Macaca fascicularis: one gene and its partner. The protein of the gene in region 1 interacts with the protein of each later gene in a biochemical or structural test. Links are inferred from orthologs where the notes say so. Each region holds a gene or a part of one and is shown in the gene's direction. Other genes may lie near its edges. The genes, in order: CARD11 and PRKCQ.

Region 1 (3,816 bases):
AATAAGTGCCAGGGAGAACAAAAGGCCCAGGATACTCCCAAGCAGAAGCCAGTTTTCTGCTTCTTTCCAGGCAATAAACTTCTTAAATGATAAGCTTCTTAGAGACCTCAAGGGACATACATCTCTTCTTGCCTCTACCTTCCAGACACAAAACCTTCTGCTCTGTCCGTGTCTGTTGCTGGCTCTTCTGTCCCCCACCTTCCAGGACCACCTGGCTCCCCACCCCGACCCTGACCCTGTTAAACCTCCTCCCTCCCACCCAGGCTGGAAAGCGCAGCCTGCCAGACTCCGACAAGGCCATCCTGGACATCCTGGAACACGACCGCAAGGAGGCCCTGGAGGACCGGCAGGAGCTGGTCAACAGGATCTACAACCTGCAGGAGGAGGCCCGCCAGGCGGAGGAGCTGCGGGACAAGGTGGGAGCGGGGAGCGCCTGCCCAGCAGTGCCCTTGGCCCGCCCCCTTCACACCAGGGGGCAGTGGTGTGTGTCAGCAGGACCTCCCTGACCCCACACTCCTTTCCGGGGACTAGGTCAGACCCCTGGCATAAATCCCCTGTACTTCCCAGTATTCAGCCCCTGGCAGGAGCTGCAGTTTATCAACCTGATGAGGGCCTGGGGGCAGGAGCAATGTGGGCAGAGGAGACGGTGAGGGCTTGGGATTGGGGGAACCAACATACTTGCCAATGTGTGAGTCTCAGAGCCTCACCCACACCTTGCAGATTGCAGGATCCCAGATGTGTCGGCCACCCTTGGGCATTTATAAGCTATTGCACCAGCTGAGCACCAGTGTCCCCCTCCTGATTGAGACCACACTATCCTCCCATACATTACCTGGTCTGTAGTGGGTTCATGACAATGCCAAGTTCATTGGTCCCCTACCTTGAGCCCCAGTGGTCAGATAGCCAGTTCTCAGAAGGGCAGGCCATGTCCTGACCATGCCAGCTTAGGGAGGGACAGGCCAGCTCCAGCCAGCCGGCGGGAAGGCACGAGCGGAGAACAGCTTTCAACCCTGACCTATTGATTCCTTGATGCACGTATTGATTTCTCTGTGTTGTTCACAGTACCTGGAGGAGAAGGAGGACCTGGAGCTCAAGTGCTCGACCCTGGGGAAGGACTGTGAAATGTATAAGCACCGGATGAATACGGTCATGCTGCAGCTGGAGGAGGTGGAGCGGGAGCGGGACCAGGTACAGGCACCACCTGCAGCATGCAGGGCGGCAAGACTGCACAGCGGGGCCCACACCCCAGGCCACGGGGTCCTTCAGAGTGTTTTGTCCAGTGCAATGTCACTGACAATGCAGGGATCACTCCTGAATCCATCTTTCCCATTTCTGTTCCAACGATGAATTCTATCCCAAAAGGCTTTTGGAAGTCACAGGCATTTGGGTATCAGGGGGCTCTGAGCTGAGCTCCAGCAGCTCCCACAACCAAGCATGGTTCTTAAATGTTGTCTGTTCTCTCGGGTGAGAGGATGGGTTCAGATCCAGCCCTGTCATTCATAAGGTGTATGCCACCCTGACCTCAGTGCCCTCATCTGTAAAATGAGGAAAATTACGGTAGCACCACCTCATAGGGACAGGCCGTGGCCTTCCAGGGATACTGCATCAAATCTCTCAACACGGAGCCTGCCACTAGCAAGGGTCGAACCATCGGCTCTGTGATCGTGTTATTGAAGAAGGCAGTGACTGACACACCCAGGAGTCAGGCTGCAGATGAGAGTCACAGACGATGTGGCTGGCCCCTGGGTTGGGGATGATGCCTGTCCCTGGGCCCAGCTGGAGTTGACTGGGGTGCGGCCCCCAAAGCAGCCTTTGTCCTGCTTCTTCTCCCCGGCAGGCCTTCCACTCCCGAGACGAAGCCCAGACACAGTACTCGCAGTGCTTAATCGAAAAGGACAAGTACAGGAAGCAGATCCGTGAGCTGGAGGAGAAGAACGACGAGATGAGGATCGAGATGGTGCGGCGGGAGGCCTGCATCGTCAACCTGGAAAGCAAGCTCCGGCGCCTCTCCAAGGACAGCAACAACCTGGACCAGGTGGGCTGGGACAGGCAGGGCTCACGTCTGAAGCCAGGTGCCCCATGGCGCCCACTGAGGGCTGTGGCCAGTCGCCGCCTCCCCGTGGGGCCCCACATCTGAAGGCAGGTGCCCCCTGGCGCCCACTGAGGGCTGTGGCCAGTTGCCACCTCCCAGTGCAATGAATGGCTCCTTGTCCTTTGTTTAGTTTTGTTTTGTTTTTGAGACGGAGTCTTGCTCTGTTGCCCAGGCTGGAATGCAGTGGCACCATCACAGCTCACTGCAGCTTCAAACTCCTGGGCTCAAGCCATCCTCCCACTTCAGCCTCCCGGGTAACGGGACTAAAGGCACACACCACCATGCCTGACTAATTTTGTATTTTTTTATACAGACAAGGTCTCACTGTTTCCCAGGCTGGTCTTAAACTCCTATCCTCAAGCGATCCTCCCGCTTCAGCCTCCCAAAGTGCTAGACTTACAGCCATGAGCCACTGTGCCCGGTCGGCCCTTCATATTTTTGAAGCCAGAAGTTCCCTCCCACACCCAGCATAATCCACATCTTTTAGTCTTGTGTTTGTGTCTGTTTAGTGATGAGTAGAAGCCACTCATTTTGAAGTTAGAAGATGCAGGGTAGGGCTGGGCACAGTGGTTCATGCCTCTAATCTCAGCATTTTGGGAGGCTGAGGTGGGAGGATCGCTTTAGGACAGGAGTTCAAGACCAGTCTGGGCAACAGAGTGAAAATTTTTTTTAATTTAAAAAATTAAAATTAAAAACATAAATAAGAAGATGCAGGGGGCTGGACGCGATGGCTCATGCCTGTAATCCCAGCACTTTGGGAGGCTGAGGCGGGTGGATCATGAGGTCAGGAGTTCGAGACCAGCCTGACCAACATAGTGAAACCCCGTCTTTACTAAAAATACAAAAAAATTAGCTAGATATGGTGGTGTGTGCCTGTACTCCCAGCTCCTCGGGAGGCTGAGGCAGGAGAATTGCTTGACCCCAGAAGGCAGAGGTTGCAGTGAGCCGAGATTTTGCCACTGCACTCCAGCCTGGTGACAGAGCAAACCTTCGTCTCAAAAAACAAAAAGAAGAAGATGCAGGGTCAAGCCTGACCCAGCCACTTCCTGGCTGAGCAGCCTCCCCGCTTAGGAGCCTCAGTGCCCTCTCAGTTGACCACAGCCAGCTGCTGGCCTCCTACTAGGGTTCCCCCGCACACCTGAACGGTCACTGGGTTTAAGACACCCTGCGGTCATTAGGGTTCCTAGTGCCTGTGAGTAAACCCTCATTTATCGACAATGTGAATTGCAGAGTGCATTTCCCAGCAGTGCCCCAGGCACTGAGAAGTGAAGGAATGCCTCCTCCAGGGTAGATGTTATCACTTTTATAGCTGTGGGTTTACTGAGCGCAGTCACGTGCAGGTGCCACGCAACGTGCCCCCTGCGCGTTACCTCATTTACCCCACAGAACTGTCCTGCATGGAAAGCACATGCTCAGTGTCCTCATTTACAAAAGAAGGGACCCTGACTGGGTGCGGTGGCTGAGGCCTGTAATCCCAGCACTTTGGGAGGACCCGCATTCCCGGCTGCAGTTACAGCGTGAATACAGGCCTGGCACGTAGCCCATCGTGCTGCCAGCAGGCCGTGTCCGGCACTTCCACCGTCTGCAGAGTGGGAGTCAAGGACCAGCAGGCGGGTAATGAGATGCGCCAAGGTGGGCTGTGCGTACCCAGGAGTGTTCCGCTGCTATTCTGAGTCCCTGAAGGATTTTGCACAGGGAGTGGGACAAGACGCTTTGAGTTTGGA
Region 2 (3,816 bases), on another chromosome or scaffold:
AAAAATACCAACAGCAGGTAATGAAGGAACAAAAAGCAGTGTAAAGAAGAGAGGACTGGGGGCAGGGATGTGTGTTATCTTATATAGGGTTGTCCTGCAAAGGCCTGTGAGCAGGGACATTTGCAGATGCAAGAAGAAACTGACTCAGATGTTGAGAACCTCCTGCCAGATGCTCACAGTTCACATTTAGGGGTTCCCAAACCTACTATTTTGCATCCCCCACCAAAAGACTTTTTGCTTCACAGCTGACTTTGTCCTTCCAGCCACTCTGAACACATCAAAGCCAGGGAGACTGTCTGAATCATCTTGATTTCCTTTCTGCCCAGAGTTCTCTCCTGTTTAGTTAAAAGTGTGAATGCCACTTGCTCCCAACCTAAAACCTTTCAAATGTCACAGACATCTTTGAAGTGTAAAATGTCTGAGTTTTTCAAAGCCGCCTTTGACTTAATGGGTCTCCTGGATCCAGTTCTCTTTACCCTCTCAGTTCTCCCTGACATTTGCCTCCTGAGGGCCTTTTTTTTTTTTTTTTTTTTAATTGTTTTTGGCCTTGCCTTTGAACTTGGTCTAATCAGCCATGTGGATCGAGAGACCTTGTCAGAAAAGAAGGAAACTGGTTTTCCTAAAGATTAGCCTGTGGAGTTGGAGGGAGTTTAGAGATTTTTGCTTTTGATTTTATTTTGGGTTTGTTCTGAAAAGAAATCACTCTGAATATTATCATTCAATATTTACTTCTACAGAATTTAAACACATTTCAGTTCTTGGAGTGTAAGACTGTGTTTTCCACAATAAGCCAACAGAACAAGGACAAACAGACCATGGGACGGTGGGGCTGTGAGTCACTGAAAACGGTAACACTCTAGATAGTCAGGATCCTCTGTTTAGGTAATTACACACGTGGTGAATGCAAATGTAAAAAGTGCCTTGCTTCGAGGATGTTTGCCCCTTCTCGGAGGATTTTTGGCCCTTTTCTCTAGGCACAGAGAATGGTTACCATCAAAAGGAATTATCCAAAAGGGAAGCTTCAGGTCTGTGGAAGTAAAATGTTACTGTGATCATTAATATTGCCATTGGTTTCTAAAAAGCCCAATCTCCAGTCCAATTTTTTTTAACCAACCCACAAAAACTTTCCCCTTTCTATTCCACCTTTAGTAATCTCATGGTTTATATCGTTCCTAGCCAAGTTTATCTAACATTTGAGTTTCAAGCTTATTCAACTCCTTGTATACCCCCAAAATAAATACTAATTTAACAAACGCTAAATGCCTGCTCTGCTTAGCTTTGTGTGTTGGACGGAAGGGGCCCTCGAAAGTTAGAAGGGCTTTATTTCCTGGCTGTAAGCGGATTTTTCCCCTTTTGCTTAATCGACATCTCTGAATTGCTAAGTCTGCCACTTAATGTGCTTATATCACAAGAAACAAACCCTCAAATGCAGGTTTCTGCTTCTGAAATGATTAAAGAATAAATACCAGAGAAAATTCAATGTGCATGAAAGACAAGGAAAAACTTCTTAATTAGCAAACTCTTTGCCAATCACAGTGCGGCTTTAGGGAGGTTTCCCCTAAACTGACCTTCCCGTCTACAGATTCATTACTATTTCCAGGGCTGCTACCTGCTTACCTTTCCTCACTTGCAGACTTGCAGTCTGCTTCAGCCTCGCTGGCTCCATGAGTGAAGACCAGCACCACCTCTCCGAGTTGCCCATCAGCTTTTGCTGAGGGTGCATGGTACATGTAAAATGTATCTTCACCCAAGAATTAGAGAAGGAAATAATGGCTCATTATGTTTTAAAGATCATTGCCTCTTACTGTATTTATGTCAAATGGAAAAAAATTTAAATATTTATTAAAGGAGCATTCATTATACGCTTAAATTATGCCACTATGTCTTTCAGATGAACACACAGTAGTTTTGAATTGACTATGTTTAACCCGGGGCCAGTGAGGTTAATCAGCCGTAGGATTAACACGACAGATTAATAAAGGAGAATCTCAAAGGCATAAAAGATTTTTTAAAAAGTTTGTTGCTCAGGTGTTTACAGCCAGAGTGAAGCAACTAACTGTTGATTAGGAAAAGAACATTTTGAAACCAACCCGATAGTACCATAGACGGTTGTTTTTGGCTAATTATAGAAATGGACCCTTTTGATCTTAAAGCTTGGAACTTTCTGAGTTTCTTCCTCAGGAAAGGATCCCCACACCTCTCAAAAAAAATATTAAAGAACTGAAACTTACCACATCATGGCATCCAGAGATGGAAGTGCCAGGCTCCTGGTTCATTGTGATTGGTTCCTTACCCCTCCCAAGTTCCTGTTTTCTCATACAAAGTTACATTTCTTACCTGCTATATAAATCCCTAGTTTTAGCCGGTCTTGGAGATCGACTTCACACTGAGCTCTCGTCTCCTTGGCTGCAGCACCCAATTAAAGCCTTCTTCCTTGGCAATTCTCGTCATTTCAGTCATTGACTTTCTGTGTGGTGAGCAGCAAAACCTAGAACGCCTGGTGTTTCGGTAACAATTTCCAGTCCAAGGCGTTAGCAGATTGTTGTCTGAGTTACCTACATTGGAACTTATAAGGTTCAATGCATCACCTTGCATCTAGACCGGGGGACTGTCTCATTCTGTCCCATATTGTCTCTGATTGTTTATGTGCTGCTTTTGTCTTCCCAACAGAATTCTATATCCCAGAGAACAGAGGGAGCAGGTGCTACCGTTGAGTTGAACTGAATTATTTTCCAGCCCTGGCTGAAGGAGTAATGAGAACTTACCTTTCTGTTCCTAGAGAATGGGCAGATGTATATCCAGAAAAAACCTACCATGTACCCACCCTGGGACAGCACTTTCGATGCCCACATCAACAAGGGAAGAGTCATGCAGATCATTGTGAAAGGCAAAAACGTGGACCTCATCTCTGAAACCACCGTGGAACTCCACTCGCTGGCTGAGAGGTGCAGGAAGAACAACGGGAAGACAGAAATATGGGTAACGTTGTGTAAAGTGTATGCACCTAAGGGATAAGCATGATGGTAACAGACGACTGGCTCAGAACTCCATGTCAATCTGAAGGTGTGATTACGCTGGCCTCGGGTCACCAGGCTCCCTACCACTTCCTTATTGGTGATTTGACAATGGCAATGGTTATTCTTGATGGGCTGTAGAACACATTGACATCTTCAGATGCCCACATCAAAGAGTTGTAGAAAGTCTCTTAGACTATGATAAAGTGTTATTTATTTAAAACTGTTAAAGCAGGCTTGGAACATCTTAAATTCCCCTTAAGTGGGGGATGAATTTTTGTCTATCAATCCAGTTGTCAGTTTCATTCACTTTTTCAGTTTTGGGAATAATATTTGTATATAAAACTTAATCAAGATTTATCAAACAACAACTAATGCTTTTTAACTTAGAAATTACTTGTTTAATCCAATAGACTCAGAACACATTGAGATATCAAAATCTTAATTTTATTAAACTTCATCAATGCATTTCTTTTTCTTTTTCTTTTTTTTCTTTTCTTTTTTTTTTTTAAACAGAGTCTTGCTCTGTCACCCAGGCTGGTGTGCAGTGGCACGATCTCGGCTCACTGCAAACTCAGCCTCCCAGGTTTACACCATCCTCCTGCCTCAGCCTCCCAAGTAGCTGGGACTACAGGTGCACGCCGCCATGCCCCGCTAATTTTTCGTATTTTAGTAGAGACGGGGTTTCACTGTGTTAGCCAGAATGGTCTCGATCTCCTGACCTTGTGATCCACCTGCCTCGGCCTCCCAAAGTGCTGGGATTACAGGCGTGAGCCACCGCGCCCGGCCCATCAGTACATTT

The links.
Region 2: of the proteins of CARD11 (region 1) and PRKCQ, one has a biochemical effect on the other in vitro, tested with the Homo sapiens proteins (2 studies listed by BioGRID). The link is inferred for Macaca fascicularis from reciprocal best matches to the Homo sapiens genes CARD11 and PRKCQ.

What each region holds. Positions count from the first base shown.
Region 1 is NC_088377.1:36,473,282-36,477,097, reverse strand, and holds part of CARD11 (caspase recruitment domain-containing protein 11), read left to right. Parts: intron 1-263; coding exon 264-416; intron 417-1,062; coding exon 1,063-1,188; intron 1,189-1,837; coding exon 1,838-2,035; intron 2,036-3,816. UniProt on the Homo sapiens protein: Adapter protein that plays a key role in adaptive immune response by transducing the activation of NF-kappa-B downstream of T-cell receptor (TCR) and B-cell receptor (BCR) engagement.
Region 2 is NC_088383.1:7,438,853-7,442,668, reverse strand, and holds part of PRKCQ (protein kinase C theta type), read left to right. Parts: intron 1-2,779; coding exon 2,780-2,979; exon of another isoform or gene 2,980-3,063; intron 3,064-3,530; exon of another isoform or gene 3,531-3,816. UniProt on the Homo sapiens protein: Calcium-independent, phospholipid- and diacylglycerol (DAG)-dependent serine/threonine-protein kinase that mediates non-redundant functions in T-cell receptor (TCR) signaling, including T-cells activation, proliferation, differentiation and survival, by mediating activation of multiple transcription factors such as NF-kappa-B, JUN, NFATC1 and NFATC2.